Linked DNA regions of Caenorhabditis elegans. The protein of the gene in region 2 purifies or fractionates together with the protein of the main gene of each other region. This does not show direct contact. Each region holds a gene or a part of one and is shown on either strand. Other genes may lie near its edges.

Region 1 (11,851 bases), on a different chromosome or scaffold from region 2:
TCAGATCTACGTAGATCAAACCGAAATGAGACACTCTGACACCACGGGTGGCTATATAACTTACAGACGCACTTGTTAAATCCTGCCGCAATTTTTGTAGACCAAACGATTCAACTTTCAGATACTTCACTATCCGGCTTTACAAACGGTGATGTACTGGAGAACAGTGATGAAGATCGACGAATCGTTCGAGAGATTATTGTTTAATTTTGTCATATTTTTTGTCATTCTTCCCCCCTCACAAACTTCTTTCATTGTATGACGTTGTTAAATATTCGGGTCGTTTAAACAACAGTAATAACGTGTTGATAGTTAACTTAACAGTGTGTTTTTGAGCTTTTTTTGAGCTCTAATTTTTCCTTAATAAAATTCTATAATCAAATTATGTATGCGTTAATCTTAAAACAACACACAAAATTTTTATGAATGTCCGCATATGCTTTTAATTTGAATGTCATTATATATTTATTAGAAACACATTCCTTCGAGCAATTTTAGAGACGGATGTTAGAATTGAGTTGAGTTTTTGGACTTTTTGATGATATTTGAGTTTGTTTGGCTCAGTTGGCATAATAGAACGTGTCTACATTCCGCCGAAGTACTCGTGAAACATTTTTTCAAAGTTTATTTCTGGTTCCAGTAAGAACAATGTTTGAAATAACTTGTACATTGCTAAAATGTCTAGAAAAATTTAGGTAAAGCTTTAAAAAATATTTTTGAAGTTTTTAACATTCGAAAACAAATACTCAATTTTTGCCGATCATGGTATGCCGACCAAATAAAAATTCTCTACAAATTTGAAATGTTTCAGATAATTGCACGCAGAGTTTGGCAGTCAAATATGCACTATTCTTTCTTGAAAATTAACAATAAATTTATTACTTCTAGATAAAGTTTAAAAAAACTGGTTTCCTTTTCAGCATATTTCATAAATTTATAGTTTCATTTTCCGTACATTTTTTAAACTTAAAAAATTATAGTATTAATTCTTGATCATTTCCTAAAAATTTAAAAAATCATAATACAATCTGAGTTTTTTGATGACACACTCGGTCCCAAATGCAACTTTACTCTCTCAGCCTCTTGGCTATACACCCACGTAGTATACATTCCAAATTCTCAGAATTTCCCTCTGCTAAACACTTTTTATGAATTCATCCACCCATATACGTATTCACTTGACTCCTTCTCAGATCTCTTCCGTCCAGTCGCAATTTTATTAGAAATCATATGGGGCGGTTGCTCTTGGTTGCTTCGGGCTTCCTGCTCCGTGTGTGCAGGATGAAGAAGCCACGGGGCAAAATGGGAAAAGCCGACCCCACCGGAGCCGAGATGAAGGAAAAAGGGAGGGGCAGGAGACGGGGGCAGATCGTGTGAGAGCAAGAGCAACATTTCTTGTCGATATCTCCATCTCTTGCCTCCCTCCCTCATTGAAGCTCTTTTCCTTTCTACCTCACACGGCACCCGCCTCCTTTGGCTTCACATTGAATTTGTTCAGTGAATAAAAAAGTAGTAAATTGTAAACCTAACAAGTTTCTTTTTTTCTTTCGTTTTTTCTTAATACTCCGAGCCTTCTTTTTTCGTACTTGTGTGTTGCTTATAAAGCTACCGTAATCTCAACTTTCAATTTTTCCATTAGAACTATACATTAGATGATTGCAGTTCTATTTTTTTGAAGTTTATTTTGCAAAATTGTCAGTGCAATAAAAAAAGGAATTTTCAATAAATGCTGGGATTTTTTCACGAAGGAAACTTTTTATTTAACTTAACAAAATTTTTTGTTCTAACAAAAAGTTACACCAAAAATGATCTACTTTCCATACTTAAATTTTTCAGAGTACTCTAGACTAGACTTAAACTAGGTATGTAAAATTTATTAAAAGATTTAAATGTCTATTTTTGATATTTTTGGTGTGCTCAGATGTAGATGTAGATTCTGAAAGCATTTTAAGTATTTCAATGTTTTGAAAAAAAAAAAATTTCGCTCATTTTTTTCATTCAAAAAAATGTTTTCTTCGATAAAAATATATAATTATTTTGAAAAAGTTTTAACAGATTTCTAAACATCATCAAATAGTAACAAAACATATAATAAGTAGCTTTAGGAGTAATTCTAGAGGCCCCGGAAAAATTTCGTATCGACATTCAGAAAGTGGAAAGTCTTCCGCTTAAAATTGTAAAGTTAGTCAGTTTTTCCCCTTCTTTAATACTTGTACTTATCAGTGCAGTTAGAAATAAGATATTCGTTTTTGTCAGTGCACTTTTAGTATTGGTCAGTGTATTTACCGTTTTGGTCAGTGCAAGCACTACTTTGGTCAGTGCCTACATGCGGTCCAAGCAAAATCCTATTTTTTCCAATAAACTTATTTCTTTCATTTTCAAAAATGTACTCAACATATTTTATATCTAGATCCCCGTTTTCACTTTCAATCCATTAAAACTTGAGAGTTCTTTGTTCATGATTAAGTCAGCTGAGCTCTTCGTCTCATTTTTCCTCCCCCATGTTTAATTTGAGAAAAACAATTTTCAATTTGCGAAACTAAAACCTAGTTTCTCCGAATAAAATTCTTCAATTGTTTCCCTCCGCTTAGTGTTCAGACATTCAACGCGCTCTGCTCTATCTACACAAACCCCCTCCTTCTGTTAATTTCCCGAAATTTCGTCTAAATTTCTCGCAAAAAAAAACGAAGGCAATGAGAGAGATAGTGTAGTGCTCCTAAGCTCTGGTGAGCAAGAGCACAAGAAAAATCGATGTCGCCCAGATTTCCGGCAGTGTCTTTGACGTTTTTGGAGAAGAAGGAAGCTTAGTGAAAGAAAACATCTAAACATGACAAACGTTTTTTTTCTGTTCGTTTTTTGTCTTCCCGCTTCCGATTTCATCTCATTCTGCTGCTTTCGCACAAAATCATTTTTTCTTGGTTTCTGAAAAGTTTTCACAACAAGTTTTAGTATTGGTTTGTTATACGGAAAAACATTTGTCTTCCTTATCAGTTGCTGGTAAAATTGGAAATCATTTCGATTTTTTTCAATTATATCTAACGGTTAGCTATACCTCTGTGTGAGGTTTTCAACGGCAAATACTTTGATTAAAACAAAAGTCAAGCATTTCAAACAAAAGTCAAGCATTTTGACCACGAGAAAAGGTTTACAACTTATGTAACTTTGAAATTTTGTCTGAAATTCTGATCAACTGATTTTACAAATCTCAAAAACGCTGGTTAACAGCAGCAAAAATGGAATACTTTCTGAGAACCTAACTAACTAAAGATTTTTTGGTATGTGTGTTGTATACCTAGCTCTTCCAGAAATATTTTCCAATTAGAAACGTGGAATTCATTCGCATTTTTAGCCTTAGAAAAACACTTCTCCTAAGCCTAACTTTGATAAAAAGAGCCTTTATCATTTCAACTAGAAAATAATAGTATTTTGTCAAATCGAGCTAGATTTTTTATTGAATTTAGAATCACCATAGCAATAGCGTTCATAAGTTTTATCACTAATCCTATAACATTTTAGATAACAAATGTTTTTCAATCAATCAATGAGGAGAATTATATGTAAAAACTTAAGATCTACCACGACTAGTAAAAATAAGATTTCAACTTTGATATGCCAAATTTAAATAGCTAATCATATTTTTGTGATACGAAATCATAAAATGACTATTAGTATAAAATTGTGCTAAAAGTTTTGCTTCAGAGTTAAAAAATAAACCCTTGGTCCAACGCCGTGCCACTTCAGCCATTTTTATGAAACGGTCTAAAAATTAAAAATAGCCGGTTGAAAATTATTTTTTTTTTTTCAATTGTCAATGGCAAAGTTTCCTAATATTTTATAATGTGAGTACCATGTTTAGAAATTTGAAAAGAAGCAAGCATCATTTTTCCCATAACATTTTGAAGTTTGATGTCAACAATAACTCTGCCAAATATGAATTAGTATGAATTGGCGTCTGCCCATTACCGAACAGCTCTGTGTTTTTAACCAAATTTAAACAACGTTTTACATGCGAAAGTTTCTTTACACTGTGTTTTATATTTTTCACGTCAAATACTATTATTTTAAATTTTTTCAATACACACCACTATGCTTTGTCACTAAATTATTTATATCTGAACAACCATAAACTAATATGTCAATCAGCGCAAACTAAAAATTTCTTTATAATCTTTTCGTAATCCAATCATCTCCAGACTAGATTTGTATCACCAAGCCAACTAAAAATTATTTTAGTTTTCTGAAAAAAACCTCATGTTATATAACTTTACAAGGCATACTATTAGAATTCCGTATATTTAAAAATTACGAATTTGTTGGTTTTCTTTCAGTTTCCTACAGTGTATCACAACAATTTATTGCTGGTTCAGACATTCTTTTTGATAGTTTTTGTGAAAAGAAAAATCAACAGGGTTAAAAAATGAATCAAATAAACTGTGATCTACGAACAAGTTGCACAACTTCCCACAGATACTCTCAAAAATAAATTCTGAACTCGCGGTAAAACAATATTGCATAAAAGTTCCAACTTTCAAGCTCATAGATCTTACCGCTTTTAAAAAAACGTGTTTAAGCTTAGCAGTTTTCTAAAATCTAGTCCTATACTATACATTTTTCAGGCAATGGATCAGCGGAATAAGTGCTTCGTTCCCCACGATCTTCGCCCAATTTTGGAAGCGTTGGCGCGTGAAGTACTCCGAAGTCAACCATCGGATGTGGCCGAGTTTGGCCACATGTTTTTCGATGAGTACTTGAAACATCGCAGAGGTGAACTTTTGGTCATATATTTTGGTGGGAAAAGTAGGCTGGGGAAAAGAATCCGTTGAATTATTTACGAGATTCTAGTTATTTTTCCATTGATATCCAGATTTGCAATAAGGCACGCACACGCATGAATGAGATGTGAAATTGTTTCCCTGGACTTTCATATTTTGAGCTTGAGCATCATTGTGCCGCAATTTTCCTTCAAGTTTTGTGTAGGATTTTGCTAATTATAAAATGCATGCAAGTAAAATAAAGTTTCTTTCGAAGAAAATCAGAAAGTACATATGAAGTATTTCCCCTGTTTTACTAAACAAATACCGACTTATTCATATTAAAACTGCACTTTTAAAAAAAAGTTTTGGATTAAAAATAGAACATCAATTATTAGTAATATGCACACTAGAACATTTTCCCAAGTATTGTTTTTGACAAGAATTTTCATAGTGTGTCTATTTTTCCTTCAAAGAATTGCAAGTTTAATGCACCAATTGAAAAAAGGTAGACTCAGTGCAGTTCAAAGAGAGCAAAATTTATCAGGCGTATAAACATTTAATTTCGAACAAAAAAATTTACTGTTAAGTGAAAATTTCAACTTGAATTCAATTTGAATCAAAGATAATTCCCACATTTTTTTTTCAGAAAACAGGAACATTCTAAAGGATCCAGCGGCTTACGAAGTTTTCCGTGCTGATCTCCAGAAGAAGGTAAGATATAAAAATTTATAATTTCCACAAAAAAAACAAAAACTAATACTATAATTCGTGTGGCTTTATCGAAGTTTATTCCTTTCAGATTTGTTTTTTCACTGACTCAGTCAACTATTTTATTTGAATTTTTCAAAATAGGAAAATAAAACACGTAAAAAACATAAATTGCCTTTGTTACAACAAAGTATACTCTAACGTGACTTTCTCCTTAATCTCGTAGCTCTGGCGTGTTAGTTTGGTCAAATTGGATGTTTATGTCAAATGACACTTTTTCTGACTTTGAGAGTAGATACACGATACATTTTTGAGCACGACGTTTATTTGAGGATTTTCCCGCTGTTTCATATTTAATCGTTTTTTTTTTGGAAATTTTTTCAACCTTATAAGTGGTGTCATAATTCGACATCTAAATTCATTTTAAAAATAATTTCAACTTTTGGGAAGAACAGAGTTTAAAAAAATATTTCTCGTTTTTTCATGAAACGGAAACTAGATATAAGATACCAAAATCCGCATCTGGTAAAAACAGTTTTCTTCTCACACTAACTAGTGAAGGAACATACATTTCGGTAAACTTTTAGAAAAATTTTTTTAATTCAACATAAAATGATACACTGGACTCTGTCTAAAGCGATAAGTGGGAACTCTAAAACTTTTATTACTTACCTACTCCTTACATTTCAAAAATACGCAAATACTTGTTTGCTTTTTGAAACTCTAAAACTAAAAAAAAACTTTGATGCTAGGAAAGTCAGAATATGGAAACTTTTGCGTACATTTGAGAATAGCGAATAAAAAATTAGAAAGCGTTGCCAAACATAGATTTATTCGTGAACTTTGGTTCCAAAGAGTCGAAAAATGTCATATAGAGACTCAATCATTTTTTTCTGACTTTGAAAGTAGGTACATTTTTGAGATGAATTTTCAGTTTTAGTGTTTTCATATAAGAGAGTAATTTTTATATTTCTGAGTGATACATGATCTGATAGTGAGATCAAAAACTAAAATTTTCTCAGAAACATTAAATTTCCCGAGAATTTTTAAAATTTGTTTAAAGACGTTGTGCGCTGACTCAAAAATTACATTAATAAGATTTTTTAGACCATGCTCCCCCCTTTGCAGTTTCCGGCAAACCTAACAGGAATTTATTTTTGTGTTTCATTTTGACGTTTACAACTAAATAGCTAAAGAAACACCGAAAAAAGCTTTTCAATATTGTGGGAAAATCAATTGAAATATTTGGAAAATTTTAAAAAATCGTTAATAATTAAGAAATATTTTTTAATTTAAAATTGTGACATAATCGCTATACTGAGACTTTATTTTGTCATTCAAATCAAAATCCCACAGACGCTATTCCACATTTAAGTGTTTTAAAATTTGAAATGAAACAAATTTGTTGGATGATTTGCACGCTACCACCAAGAATATTATATTTTTAAGCCACATGACTCAGTGAATATCAAAACAAATTCAACGCGCCAAACTTTTCTCATTTCAGTTTGCTGAAGTTGAGCGACCAGCCAGTCCAATGGACACTGCCGCAACTAAAATTCAAGCCGCTTTCAAAGGACACTTGGTTTGTTTTAATCCTCTGCCTTGTAGTATGTAAGTATTACTGTGTAAAGTTCCAGGTCCGCGCTCACCCAGAAAAGTATGGAATGAGCACTAGAACTTCTTCTTCTGAGAAGCTTGATTCTGCCAACAACAAGAAAGATCAAAAGTGAGTACTACATAATAGAATAGAAATGTCTGAACTAAATGAATTTAGGCGTCATTCCGTGGGAGGTTACACCATTGATGTGGACACTCCGGAAGACAGAGCCGCGACCAAGATTCAATCTGAAATTCGCGGATTTCTTACTCGCAAGCACGTTGATAAGATGAAGAAGGAGGATACTGACGCGGCAACTAAGATTCAGGCACATATTAGGTTTGTTAAAAATATTTGTGTTGCTTCTTGAAATATCAGTAATAGTTACTTATACCCTTGCAAAAAATTTCTGAATGTGTTATAGAACGTCATAGGTTAAGTAGCACTGTTTTATGTTTTATTAGATTGAATGCAGAAGACAGTATTTTACAGGGAATTGTTTATTTTATTTAAACTAACTGCTGGAGACCTACTTGCTATAAAATTGAAGTTTGATAATTTTTGAGACATTTGAAGTAAATCAAACGGTACCTGAAAATGTTGCGAGTGATATATATGACAAACTTAGCAACTCCAAGTCTTTTTCAGAGGCTTCTTGACACGAAAACACTTGGACGAACAGGGCCTATCTCCATCCAGAAGTCACTCTTCCCTTCAATCCGACCATTCTGATCACAACTAAAAAAACCATATTCGAAATTTTTTCACAGCGCAGACTTTCCAACGAATTCATGCCCAGAGATTAATATTATTTCTGTCTTCAAATTTTCTAACTTTTATTTTTCTAACTTCCTATCGTATACACTCGTCGTCATTATCTCTTAATAAATAAACCAACAAACAATGTTCATTTCATGATTTCACTATCAAAGTCTTATCCGAACAAATGAATAAAAAAAAAGACAACTGTTAGTGAGTTCTAAATTTTGTCAAGAAATATTTTTGGTGAATGTTTTTTTTTTCAAAATTTTTAAATTTCGGTACTTGTGTAATATACGTGGGCAACCTTTTTTCTTCATATTAAGCTAAAATGGAAATCAGTTTTCCGTTTGGATTAATTCAGCATTTTCAGAAGAAATGAATGGAAACCGTATTGGAATATACTGTTGGGCCAGGTTAACTACAAAAAACAAAAATTGTTATAGTTCTTTGGCTGAAAAGTAATTTTTAAGTAAACCCTTCATTCAATAACCAAAAAATTCAAATTGAAAGCCAAATCGGAATCAAAAACTAAAAAAAAGACATTTCGGATCAACTGAATATCACATATAAAATCTACATAATTAGTAATCAATTGAATAAACTTGTGAAAAATGCTATGTAGAACCCTTTTCATCTGATTGTGCAATATTGTCCGTGAGAGCCAACGCCTGAAAAGGGAAGTAAAATCTTGTTGTTTCGATGATCCAACTTACTTGTTGCTTCAAAATATCTTTCAATTCTTCGTTGTCCACGAGGATTTCATCAAGTTGCTCGATCTTTTCACCATGCATGATTAAGGTCTCATTGAGTTGTTCTTGCAGCCTCTAAAAAATTGGATTGCTGTTTGAAATTGGGGAAAAAAATTGGGATTTTCGGAAGTTCTTATCACTTGTAATCCTTTTCCTTCACCGTTTTTTTGTAGTTCACAGTGATGATTGAAAACACGCTTATTTTATTGAAAACATTCAAATTATTCTTGAACAAAATCTCAGCCTAAGTTATTCGTACAGTGTCGGCCCTGGAGCAATGAATCGAAGTTTAAAGAGATTTCACTTTACACAGTAAGAGCTTCGAGCGAAGCCTCAAACCTGAATAGTCAAGTTTTCTAAACATATACCCCACTCCTGAAATAATTTCAAAGAGATCTCGAATAACCCGTTAACAGGTTCGAGGCGAAGCCGAGAACCTGCGCCAGCTACCTTGCTAATAACTTAAAGCGAATTAACCCTATCCCCATTCCCGAAGGGCTGGCGGGCCCATATATCCGCTAGTCAATTAATCATATTCAAATATTTTCAGTGTTCAAACCTGCATTAATGCTCGAAATCATTCAAAAATTACACATCTTTGAATAATTTTGTCATTTTATAAAAACTTTAATTTAAAACTTTGAAACATCTAAACAAAATTTAAATATCGTAATAGGATCTTTTCTCGTGCTGGACTATTCAGCGTGTATTTAGATTAGATGGCGGTATTAACCTCCGAAATAATAATTAATCTAATATGCAAAAACCGATATTTGCCCAAACGATTTATTTTTATCTCACCTCAATTTCCGCTTTATCACTTCGTCTCTGCGCCAAAAGAAGTCTCTTTTCCATCTCTAATTGTTCAATTATCTGCAGAAGGTCGGTCACATTCCCGTTCTTGCCATTTGGAGAAGATGCGATTTCCTTTTCTTCTCTCTCCCACCGATGGCTTTCCTAAAACATTGATTTACGAGTACGGTTGTGCAAAAAATTGTCCATTAGAGCAAAAACTCACATCAATGTATACTGATTTAGTTTGTGTAGATTCATCATGTTTGACGACTTGATTCGTTTGCTCCCGAGACTTGTTTTCACAGTTACAGGGTAATTGTATAATCTTCGGTGATGAGGATTTCCTCTTCGCTTGATTCTCCAAGCTTCTTTTAATTTCTGCTCCAAAAGTTTCGAAATCACTGATAAATGTTTCTTCTGTTTTTTGTAGCGCACCTTTCATTTGTGAGATCTAAGACAATAGCCTAATTTTCAAAATTTTTTCAAAAAAAATACCTGGTTTCTAAAATATTGAAGTACATCTTGAGTTCTGTGCCACGAATCTGTGCTATTTTGGTACTTTTCCTCTAATTCAATTTTCTCCTTTGTTAATTGGGAGCAAGTATGTTTGAGATTTGAGATTTCTTGATGAAAGTGATCCCGTTCTGAAAAATTTAGTCATTGAATCTATATTTTCTAAAAAAGTATTTCTTACCTTCACTAAGCATGTTCACAACTTTTTCATTCACGGAAAATCTATTTTCCTCCATTTCTCTCTCAAGATTTGCATGGCTGTGTTGTAAGAATTGATTTGCTTTTTTGTACTCCGTTAGTTCCTTCCGCAATCCATAAATTGCTTGGTTGAGAATTTCTTCAGGATTTGGTAATGTTACTTCTGGCACAGCAACTGGAGCTGGAGCCGGTGCTGGAGCAGGTGTCAGAGCTGCAGCGGGGCTCACAACACTCGATATTGAGATATCCTGTAATTTTTAATAATATATGTATTGAAAAATGATAATTAGTATTGTACTTGATTACTAAGTTTTGCTGTTTACTAGTATATTGTTTGTTGAAAAACGTTCTACAAATTTCAAAACGGATTGGGATCCGATCTGATAAAGTTTGATGTTTTTCTAATCCCTGACTTGCTCTGAGACTTCGCCCCGAAACAAAATCATTATTCAAATCACAATCTAAAATTCCATCACTCTAAATTTAAATCTAGTTTCTGCCGCTTCACATCTTGTCTAGGATTTCCCTGATACCTTGTTCAAGATCAGATCATTGTCTTGTCTTAGCGAAAGTGACTTTCTGTGTGTTATGTATACTATGATGTCATTTAATGTAGCTACTCACCGTATCAAACTCCATTGGTATTATTCGTAATCGATCCGGTGACGCTGTCCGTGAAGATGCTCTGAAGTTATGTTTTCTTTTAGTCAGTAGATCTACCAGTAATGTCAGTGCAACTGTTAGTTTGGTCAGTGCAACTGTCTAGTTGGTCAGTGCAACTGTCAACTTGGTCAGTGCAACTGTCAAGTTGGTCAGTGCATAATCCAAGTTGGGTTAGTGCACTCATAATTATAGTCAATACATCCACAAATTTATCATTATGGTCAGATTATTGTTATGTTTACATAATTCTTACCTTGTTAAATGTTCAATGTCCGATGAAATAATTGTTTGAATATCATCTCCAATATATCGATTATTATGAAATGCTAGAAAACGGGAACTAATTATTAATATTTATTCATTTAAATTTAAGAAAAACTTACGCGGTAAAACAGGTTCCAACATAACAATATCGTCAGCTAATGGCTCGGACCCTTGTGACGGAGATGAGCATTCCTGCTCAGCATGAACTTCATCTGGCACATCAACTTCAACCTCGGCTGCTTCTGGCCTGATATCCAACACCTGATCAATTCGTTTTTGTGCTTGAAGTATTGCTTCTTTCCAATTAACATTCATTGTGCCTGAAACTGACTAAAAAGGTAAAATAGAACAGACAAAAGCTGGTAAATAAGAAGCGTGTTGTGTAAAGTTCTGACGGAAGGAGAAAAGATGAATCAGATAAGCAGTGACGGAATTTAGTGGAATCCACGTTTTATTGGGTTGAACAGAGGAAATGGAAGAGACACATTGTGTCGTGGAGAAACCTAGGCCAGGAGGTATTGGGATAACAAAATTGTTGTGTTGAATAAATATTAAAATATAAATATAACAATACAATTTTAAGATTTCAAAATTCAAATGAAAACTTTCTGATTAGGTATATTGAAAATTTTAACAAATCAACAGTTAAATAAATTTCAAGAAAATAAATTGGCATTGGAGTTTCGATATAAAAATACAGTCGAAATATAACTTCCCTTATTTTTCAAAATCAAATGTACTTATAAAATGCAAAAATTCTATAAAATCTTCATTTTCATGTTGCCAAAAAATAAATCAATAGCACTACGCGTCAAGAGGAACTAGAGAGAGAGTGGAGGGGCAGA
Region 2 (10,869 bases):
TTGAAGCAAATAAATAATTTCTGGAGTGACGAGAAGCTCTTCCAGGTTAGTTGCAATTCTTGAATGTTGTATTGAAATTCCTATATAAACCCACCTAGTTTATAGGAATCCCGTCGAATCAACATTGCACAACTTCAACACATTATTTACAAAGAATGGTTGCCAGTGGTTCTTGGTTGCCAGAATATGGAAAAATGGGGTCTAATGCCACAAACAGCTGGATATTTTGAGGGTTACGATGATCAATGTGATGCCACAATATCCCAAGAAATGTCAACATCTGCATTTCGATTTGGACATTCTTTGATCCGTGGTGTATTCACACGAATGAATGACAATTTCCAAAACATGACAAATCATGTAAATTTAACTGAAACTTTTTCGAATCCATCTCCAGTTTACGATAAGAACTCCGGTCATATGGAGTCAATCTTAATGGGATTAATTGGAGCAAACAGTATGGCTTTTGATCGTCATATTGTCACGGCTGTTCGGAATCATTTGTTCGCAAAACCTGGTGGTCCACTAACTGGACTGGATCTTCCAGCAGTGAATATTCAAAGAGGCAGAGATCACGGAGTTCAAGGTTACAATGCATATAGGTTTGTATTTCAATTTAAATTTTATAAAACCGGCAGTAGATGAAAATGCCTACATTTGTGGCGCGAAATGTCTCCAAGCATATCTTTACGTTTTGCGTCAACCGTTTCTGTCATCACAATTTAGCAATTTCCCTAGTTGTTCACTTGGGTTTCTTAGGCGAAATATTTAACACATAATTACGAGATTAAGTGGTTAACCTCGATGGGTATCGGCTGAGCATATTGTTCGCATGTAAACATTTCAAATTTATATTTTAAGAAGTATTTCAGAAAACACTGTGGACTTCGAAAAGCATCGGCTTTCTCTGATCTTCGTGATGTCATGAACTCAGAAGCTGTGACAGCTTTAGAAACAGCTTATGCTCATGTTGACGACATTGACCTGTTCCCGGGAATCATGAGTGAATCTCCAACTAGAGGTGACCCGGAATTTCTACTTGTTGCTTTTTTAAAATAATTATTAAGGCTCACTTGTTGGCCCAACATTAGCATGTCTTATTGGTGAACAAATGCAAAGATTGAAAAAATGCGACAGATTTTATTATGAGACAAGTGATTCAATGGTTCGATTTACTCCAGATCAACTTGTCGAAATTCGAAAAGCCAGTTTGTCAAGAATTATTTGCGATAATAGTGAATATGCCGCAAATATTCAACCCAATGTGTTCCTTATGCCAGACGATCTTACGTAAGTTGGAGATTTATTGAACAGGTCTATAAATGATCATTTTCAGTTTAATAAACATTTTTAAAAAATTTAAAAAAACAGTTTTCTTATTAATAATTAGTTCAAAAACTTAAATATAATTTTCAGAAACTCTCCGATGACATGCTCTGAACTTTCTGAGATTGACCTGAACAAATGGGTTGAACGAGACTATTGCCTTGTTGATGAACGTGTAGTTAATCGTGGAAAAACTAAACGAATAACTCCATGTATCACCTGTACATGTACATTAGAAGGTCCTGAATGTCATTCAATCACAATTGATGATTGTTCTCGTCTTCTTCGTGATTACTCAATCACTGATATTCAAAAGGATCCAGTTTGCCTCATTCAATGCTCTCAGCAACTCAAAAAGCTTTGAAATAATTTATTTATTTTTTATCAAACTCTAATTTTGATATTCTGACCTCTTACAGTATTCGTTCAAACCTTCTGGTATTCCATTTCATGTACATAAATAATATGATTTTCCATACCTCTATTATCAGGCACAAACAATGTTCATTTACATAACCCGATTGAACACAACTGTTGACACACAAAATACCTCTTATCAGTTATCATTCCGTCGATGTCTTGTTCGGTTATGTCTTTGCCAACTAAATTTCCAAAAAATTTCCAATTGGCTACGGCTACCGCGGCGTATCAAATTGAAGGTGCAAAAAATCTAGATGGTAAGTTTATTTTGAATTAAAAATTATTCTTTTAGAAATTTACTTCTGAAATCATTAAGGCCGCGGATTCAGTACTTGGGATTCAATTCGTTCTGAAAATGGTAGAATTCATGATAACTCGGACCCTGATCTTTCCTGTGAAGGTCGTCTAAAATACAAAGAAGACGTTGCTCTTCTCTCAAAAATCGGTGTCACCAGCTACCGATTTTCAATTTCTTGGTCCAGAATTCTTCCAGATGGAACTTTAAAAACAATAAATGAAGATGGCATTCAATTCTATCGTGATATTTGTCTTCTACTACGTGACAATGGAATTGAGCCAATTGTATGTAATAATTTCTTTGAAACATAAAAAAGCGAAAACATGTTATTTAGGTGACACTGTTCCATTTCGACATGCCTCTTTCAATTTATGACAATGGAACATCATGGCTAAACAAGGAGAATTGTGAACATTTCGAGAAATTCGCAGATTTATGTTTCCAAAAGTTTGGAGATCTTGTGAAGACATGGATAACTTTCAACGAAATAAACATGCAGGCTTGGTCATCAGTTGTAAAGATTGAAGGAGAACTTTGGTTATGCCCAGATCGTCCAGAAATCGAGAATCATGAACAAGCACCTTACATGTCAGTTTCTGAAGAAAAAAACCTTTGAAAGCGAAGGAAAAAACAAATGTTTTGGAATAAGCTGATTGAATATTTTATTTTCAGTGCAGCCACCAACATGCTTCTTACTCACGCAAAAATTTATCGAAACTACCAGAAAAACTACAAAGAAACTCAAAATGGCTTGATCGGAATAACAAATGGTGGAAGATTCTGTCTACCTGCTTCAGATTCTCCTGCAGATCTTGATGTTAGTCAAACTATTGACTTCCTTACTTTAATGATTTGCAGGCATGTAATCGAGCGCTGGATTGGCTCTTCAATTATACAATTGAACCAATTTTGACTGATTCCGGAGACTTCCCAGCCTCAATGAGAGAAAAATTACCGTTTCTACCAAAGTTCTCTGAAGAAGAAAAGAAACTCATCAAAGGTTAGCTGTCGATCGGAAATTTTTGATTTTAAAAAGATTAGTTAACTTTTTTTTTCTAAGTTAGCCTTGCACCATATTGGCAGCTCTAAATTCATTTTGCTGATATATTTTACCAATTATAATTTTCAATTTTTTTCAATTATAATTTTTTCAGGAAGCACTGATTTCCTGGGAATAAACTATTATCTCAGCCACATTGTTCGTAATTTAAATGATGGGGAGGAGCCAGCATCTCAATCAGAAAGAGACGCAGCTTATGCGTTTAATGAAGGAAAATGGGAAAAGTTGGTTTTTTCAAGTTCTCCTATAACCAAGAAATTTGCAGAATTTGTGGTGAGACATGGGTTCGTTATGCACCAGACGGTTTGTTCGGGCTTTTGAAATATGTTAGAGACAAGTACAATAATATTCCTGTATTCATCACTGAAAATGGATGTATGGATTTGGTAGGAGGTGAAGGAAGAAAAGAAGAGGAGATACTTGATGATAAGCATCGCATAAAATTTATTTCCGGACATTTGGAAGCGGTAGCTAAAGGTAAATTAAATTTGAAAAAAGTTTCGAAAAATAAAAAAACAATGATATTCAATTAATTTTTGGGAAACTTCGATCACTTGAATTTCAGCACTGGAAGAAGGATGTAATGTCATTGGCTACACACTCTGGACTCTGATGGATAATTTCGAATGGGATGACGGATTCGGTGTTAAATTTGGAATTTGTCGCGTCGATTTTGATTCTCCAGACAAAACAAGAACCATGAAATATTCGGCTAAATATTATCAAACTTTTATTCGCGAATTTAAAAAGCATCATAATCTTTTGTAGAATGGATACAAATGTATTGATAATAAATAGATTGCATGCTAGTAAAAACATTTAAAGCATTTGTGATGGTTGAAACAATAGAAAACACGTGGAAATGGAAAACCGTAATTGAAAAAAGGAACATGGAAAACGTTTAGTTGTAGGAAACAGTTGATTAAAAAAAAACTTTCTCTATTGTTGATTAATACACTACATAATTTTTTAATTCAATCCGTAATAATGTTTTCATGTTTTCGAATACCTAAGATTCTGAAAATGTTTGAACTCCTAACGTTCTAGATATAAAAATATTCATATTCAATGATTTTAAAAAGTTTAACAATCAGAAGTAGATCTTTCCACCTGTTTTCCATCTAGTTCAATAAGTAAACTAGATGCTCCACCTAAATTTGTTGGTTCAGTTCCAAAATTAGACATTGAAATTGTTGCAGTTGATTTGAAGCCACGAGAGTGACGACGGAGTATTGTGCTTCGGACTCTTTCGTATCTGAAAATATACCGATTATTTGAAAATAAATTTAGTCTTAAAAATAAACGTTAGAAACGCATTTTACAGGAAAATGCATTTACAAGAGATAAATAATACATTTGAATAAAACTAATAAATACAAAAGAAGTAAACTAAAAGTGTCAAAAGCTTTTGCTCACCTTGTCTTACATGGCATCAGTAATATACTTTTGAAAGCTCTTCTGTACTTGTGACTGTATGCAATATAAATTATTGGATTTAAAGAACTCGATAGTAATGACATCCATTGGAATATTGGCCGAATCAACTGAAATTCTTGCTTTTTTAATAAGATAAATATGTAAACAGCTACCATTGAAGTAATTTGAAAAAGATCCGATCGCTGATCAGCAAAGAAGAAAAAATATGTGAAGATGCAATAGAGAGGTAACCAGCAACAAGCAAATACAATTATTACTGTTAACATCATTGTGGCAACTCGTAGTTTTACTCGATCTTCTCGGGCCTAAAAATATTAATATCAATTTACACATAGAAATTTAATGGAATCATTCTAATATCTAGTTTTTGCTAAAAATTTAAAAGAGCCTCGTAAAATAATTTCTTGGCTATCGATTTTTTTGATTTGTTTAAAAATATATAAAACTTACTCTTGCATCAACTGCCAGACTTCTATGTGTTGATACAGTGATAAATATTCTCGTGTATAGACCCGAAATCAAACCAAATGGAACTATGAAAGCCAGCAATAAGTTAACAAATAAAAAATATAATTTTTGATCCGTTTGTGACGTACATAATCGGTAACCATAACTGCCTTCTTGCCATACTATCTGAAATGCATTTTTTGAAAAAAAAACAACGATTTTAAATTTATACCAAATCATAGTTATACCAATTAGGTATTCCGAATATTGCAGCTACTAGCCAAACAGCAAATATAACATATTTTGTATATTCTCGATCCCAGCTAGTGTTGTATTTCAACGTATGGCAAATAGCTAGATAACGATCAGCCGTCACTGCAACCAAGGTGTAAACTGATGCAAATGACGTAGATGCGTTAGCCCATGTGGACAATCGGCAGAAAAATTGACCCCAAAGCCATTCTGAAAATATAAAGCTGTTTTCATTAAAAACGGAAATTTTGCCAAAATATCCCTATAATAGTCTTTTGAGAACCACTTTCAAAAAATGTCAAAATTCTCTGTCAAATTGCCAAAAATTTTAAAAATATTTGATTTTTTGAGAAATTTTGAGCACTGCTGCAGAATTCATACAAAGGATACGATTTTTGCTCAATTTCAAAATTTTTGATTCACACCGAAAACTGAGTAAAAAGTTATTCTGGAAAAATAATTTAAAAAATAACCTTACCTGTGAAAATGCTATTAATCAACGTAGTTGGCAGACAAATCCATAAAATAAACAGATCAGCAAGTGCAAGAGACAAAATTAGATAATCCGTGGTTATATTTAAATTCTTATGAGCCCAAACCGCTAAGACAACAAACGTGTTTCCAAGTACACCAGTGAAGAATACAGCTCCATATGCAACTGTATAAAGAACAGTTAGTTGATATGAATGTCTAAGTAGAGGGACTGGTTCAAGTTGTTCAACATCTGCATATAATGGCTCTACAAATGACGTATTCATTGTTTCCATTTGAACAGTTGCAAAAGTTCAAAAATTTGACATTGGCAGTTTTGGAGATTTTCTGAAATAAATGTATCTTTAAATAACCTGCGGAAGTTGAGTAGAGCATCAAAATCAGAATATAACAACTAATAAAATACAAAATACAAATTACTAGAAAAAGAGAGAAAAAAGAGAAAAATGATGATGGATAAGAAAAAGAAGAAGCCGTCTGAAGATAACCCAATGAAATGACGAAATGCATTAGTAGCGTCCCCCAAGAGAAAAAAGTTTCCCAATGAATTAAGGACGAAAATGAAATAGTTTTGACAATGAACTCAGTATCTATCATGTTAAGATATGATATTGCTACCTACAGTTGTGTCTATAATATCCGTTTTCGGGCTTTGCTTATTTGTAGAAAACCCTTGTTCTAACAAACGTTACAAGTGAATATAGCAAGAACGAGATCGCTGAATTCCGGCCGTTGTATCATCTGTCCAGAATGTTGTGAAATGATCAACATTGTTTTAACATGCAGACAACATTATAAACATCAACTTTACAGTTAAACTTTTTAAAGGTTCCACGTTTTTAGTTATACTCAGTCTAAAAAGTTAAAAAACGATTATGTGATAAACGAAGCATGTAGATACTCTTGGACACCATTCTAGCTTTACCCATTTTAAATGTCATTTGATGAATTCCTAAATGTTTCTGTTTCATTTATTGAATAAATAGGGAGGAAGATACTAAAAAACAGTTTTAGTGGGATTTGACCAATCCGTTTCGGATGACACAAACTGAGTTATAATATTGTAGTGTAGAAAAGTGAAAATGTGCTTTGTCATTAATTGATGCTCGTCTTGATTTCTTGTAAATTCTTTTGGCGGCAAGCTCATAGAGCCTAGGATCACATGAAAAGGTGGAGAAGAAAATAGAAAAAGTGTGAAGAAACCGCCCTCTATCATCATCATTGCCGGCACTTCCTTTGCCCCCTGCACCCAAAACTATATTGAGCCAATTACTACTGACTAATAGTTTGAGGACTCTGAGATTCTTGGAAAATCTGAGAAAATATAAAAATAAGAGAAAAGAGCAAAGATACATAAAAAAACATGTGTTGAAACAGAGAGATACGAAAACAGAGAAACTTGTCAAGCGGTCATGATGGGATATAAAAAGAGATGAAGTCACTGGGTAAATAGATTACGGACACTGGAAAACGGACAGAAATGGAATAAAAGTGTTCGTTTGACGGAAATATTTGGGTTCGAGTTGTAAATGTGATTTATATATTGAATTTGGAAGTTTGACAGGGATAATGTTCTTCTCGACCACAATGTAATAGTTTTTAAAAGTGCACTATTGTCTTAAAACACTCCAAAACTTTCTTAGATTTTTCAAAATCTTTAGTCAAAGTCAGCTTGCAAAATTTTCCAACTTTTCAACTTTTCAACAAATCAACTTTTCGAGCATCGCTGTAGGTACTAGACCAGGGGGTGTGCATCAAATCTCTAAATTTGCCGAGCTCGGTGGACAGCAATTTTGGAAAATTTGCCGCACGCCCTTGTGCTAGAGGACTCTGAAAAATTTCCCACGAACTCATCAAATATTCACTAAAAAGACTCCAACAAAAATCCTGACACAATTCTCTTGAATTCGAGACTTTCAGGTAACAACATTATTACGTGAAACTAGAATTTCGGCTCCTTGACTTTTCTAATGTTTTTGAAAAACAACGAAACTTTGTAACAGATTCGAGAAAAATGTCTTGTATTTGAACATTTTGTGAGCCTTTTCGAGCAACATTAAAGTTGAGGGTAAGAATTTTCATATCTCAAAATTTCAAAAAGTACAGAATTATCTCGGAATTATCAATTGGAATAATGTGCATGAATGTTTGATCAGTATCAAGGAATTTTTCAGGCAAATAATGTGTTCATGAAATTTCAGCATGAATAATCAAAATGAGATATTGAAAATATTACTGAAATACTATTTCGCTTAGTTTAGTCCGAAGAAATTTATAGATGATTTCCTAGCAAAATCACAGTTGTTCAAACTTTTCTATCGGGAAGTTTTACAGAAATTTCAGTTTAAACACACTCCAGCTTCATTCATGGTGGAAACAGAAATTAATTGGAAAACAAATAAATTTCACGTTTCAATCTTGTTTTGAAAAAAAACAATTTTTCTCAACTTTCACAATTCGCATACTCTGAAGAATTTTAGAAAATAACACTTATCAGTATAATACAAATATCTCTTTGTCGATAATCCACATTAAATTAATCTTTAAATATCAAAAATGTTTTTGACTGAATCTGCTTTCGAACTATGACATTCGGAAGAAAAAACACAAAATTTCTGACAATAGGTGTCATATTTATTTTTAATTTTGATTTTGACACTTCTTGTTATTTAAACCCATAATGAACTGAATTAGATAAAACTGTCGATCAAAGATAGAAATAGGTGAACGGTAGAACATTTTCAACATCTTCAGAGAAAGATTGCCAAATAAAAAATACCGTAATTTCTCTTGAAAGAAAAACTCGTTTTAAAATTTTTTAACTACATACATTGTCGCTATTAAGTTACTTTCACTCCAAAAAAAGTAAAAATTTCAGAAACTCCAAGAAAATGAAATTTTGTGAGAAAACTTTTTTTAAAAAAAATTTCCGTTTCAAACTAAAATGAAACCAAAATGAGAAGGAGGAGACGGAGTTTTTCGTCAATTCATTTCAACCTCTCCCACTTTTTCCAAACATTTTCTTTGTCTTTCGACCCTTATTTCCATATTTTCCAGTGGCTCCCACACACGTCAAAAAGAGAAGTTAATAGCCGAGACCGACGGAAAACACAAATCTCTGAGAGAATGAATGAAAACGTTGGAATTCGGAGAATTTGTGTTTCTGGAAACTTCAAAAGTATGATTTGAATAGTTTCAACTTGACTTTCACACATTTTTTATTCAAATTGAATTTGAAATGTCTATCTAAAAATCATATAACTTCCATATCAATTTTGATAGCTCAGCTAGTTTCTAGAGAAATTGGGGAAAATGTTTAAAAGTTTTAAAATTTTAGACCCATCATGACCCCTTGGCATAAAAATAGTCCACACAGTTTTGGCATATTTTGACAAAAAATTGAAGTGTTAAAAGATTGAATAACAATGTTTCTATATTTCTTCGAATTCACTTATACATATAAAAGCAAGATTTTTCTTCCGAGACAGCTTGAACTTCTTAGAACTTGTTTTTTTTTCAGTTTTTGAGAAAACTAGTAAAAGAAGAATCAAATAGAGAGATTCCCCAATGGGACACTTGAAATAAACCATAGTTTACTCTTGACATGTATACACCTTTTTGATTTATTGCTGTCATTTGTTGGCAATGTTCCAAATATAGGAAAATATGAGAAAAAGATGGAAAGAATTGGCCATAGAAATGAGGACTACAAAAGACTGATTGCTCTTGACTTGTTCTTTTAAACAAAAAAAGAAAGAAACAGTGTAAACTAGACATCAAAAATCAGAAAATAAATGAGAAGTCCCTAAATTTTAAAATATGAAATACTCGTCTTAACACAAGGATTAACATTTCAAAAATTTATACTGTGCGCGCTTCAAAGTTTTGAAACATTTTTCATCATTTTTTTCGAAGTTTTGAAGTTTTCTCAAACAAATCCCAAGTATGATCCTTTTGAAGAAGTTTCGAATAATGGAATCTAATAGCCTCGCTTCAAAAAATGCACGTTTAAAAGAAATGTGCAAAAGCTCACTTGAACCTTCATTTTTGCGCAACCTTTTCTTGCAAAGCCGGGTTTTTCCCTTTCTATGAGAAACTTTTAACAAGAGTGAAAGTTTGAAATGAAAGGAAAGTTCAGAAAACATAAAATCAAAATTTTTTTTTCCAGAAAAAAAGAACATGAATTTTCAAGAAGTTCTCAATGGATTATACTGGATCATTTTAAAATCATCAAAATTTTGCATTAATTCACTTTTGGAGCAACTTTATTGCAAAAATGAACTGAGCAAGTTTCAGATCGACTTTTTTAAAGTTCAATTTGCTTATCTGCTGCTAAACCTTTTGTAGTGACTTATTTTTAAAATACACTTTTGAATGGCATTCGTTCAAATTTTTGAAAATTGCAGTATCACGGTAAGTTTACATAGACCTCACAGTTAATTAAGAAAAAGAGAGCGAAGAAATCGAAACAAATTTTGAAAACGTTTTTTCCAGTTTTGTATGATTTGATCTTTCTGATCATTAAATATACACAACAAGTCGGCATTTCCTTATTTATACAACCTGAGAAAATTAATGTGTCTCGAAATCGGAAATAAGCAACTTCCTCGGATTTTGTTGTTTTCTAGAATTTTCTAGGCTTCTTTATTTCTACGATGTTATTTCAAAATAATTTTGATTGGACAAATACTTATTCTAATGAACAATCACCGGTGTTTTAGAAACACATCACCCTAGAAATGGACTTTGTTAACTGAAATTCGGATCTCTAATAAATAGAAATTGATTACTAAGTTGTTTATATTACTTAAATCTATCACTATCACAAATGTCTACTTTCTTCCTGTCAATAACATGAGAAATACGAGGCGTCAAACCGAAAACGTGTGCGTTTGAGAGTAGCCGTCGACAGAAATTTTGGGGCCAGTATATATGGCAACAACAAAATCTAGTTAGGGAAAAGCTTCTACGTCTTTGCCCATCTTCTCTGGAAGAAAGCGTAAAAATTTGCCAACAATAACCGAAGCTAACAAATAAATGCACACCGAAGAATAAGTTGTTGGAAACTTGGGGAAAAAAAGAGAGGCATATAAAGAAATGTTAGAAAGTATTCTGAAAATAGAGAAGGTTGGACAAG

The links.
Region 1: the proteins of klo-1 (region 2) and F39H12.3 fractionate together in Caenorhabditis elegans (co-fractionation; one large-scale study listed by BioGRID). This does not show direct contact.

Annotation. Positions count from the first base shown.
Region 1 is NC_003284.9:834,259-846,109, reverse strand, and holds F39H12.3 (RIIa domain-containing protein), read left to right. Parts: upstream 1-4,616; 5' UTR 4,617-4,619; coding exon 4,620-4,764; intron 4,765-5,400; coding exon 5,401-5,465; intron 5,466-6,969; coding exon 6,970-7,047; intron 7,048-7,102; coding exon 7,103-7,191; intron 7,192-7,239; coding exon 7,240-7,401; intron 7,402-7,710; coding exon 7,711-7,804; 3' UTR 7,805-7,966; downstream 7,967-11,851. Other genes in the region: igcm-1 (B-cell receptor CD22-like), read left to right, coding at 122-207; F39H12.1 (Pericentrin), read right to left, coding at 8,439-8,492, 8,538-8,648, 9,375-9,530, 9,592-9,819, 9,864-10,012, 10,063-10,327, 10,704-10,764, 10,996-11,068 and 1 more.
Region 2 is NC_003282.8:7,739,035-7,749,903, reverse strand, and holds klo-1 (Glycoside hydrolase family 1 protein), read left to right. Parts: upstream 1-1,902; 5' UTR 1,903-1,915; coding exon 1,916-2,003; intron 2,004-2,062; coding exon 2,063-2,328; intron 2,329-2,378; coding exon 2,379-2,632; intron 2,633-2,716; coding exon 2,717-2,861; intron 2,862-2,902; coding exon 2,903-3,044; intron 3,045-3,198; coding exon 3,199-3,328; intron 3,329-3,369; coding exon 3,370-3,581; intron 3,582-3,669; coding exon 3,670-3,872; 3' UTR 3,873-3,925; downstream 3,926-10,869. Other genes in the region: C46A5.4 (Peroxidase), read left to right, coding at 1-45, 106-602, 873-1,021, 1,068-1,290, 1,417-1,690; npr-35 (G-protein coupled receptors family 1 profile domain-containing protein), read right to left, coding at 4,188-4,359, 4,521-4,648, 4,694-4,846, 4,992-5,174, 5,221-5,450, 5,719-6,007.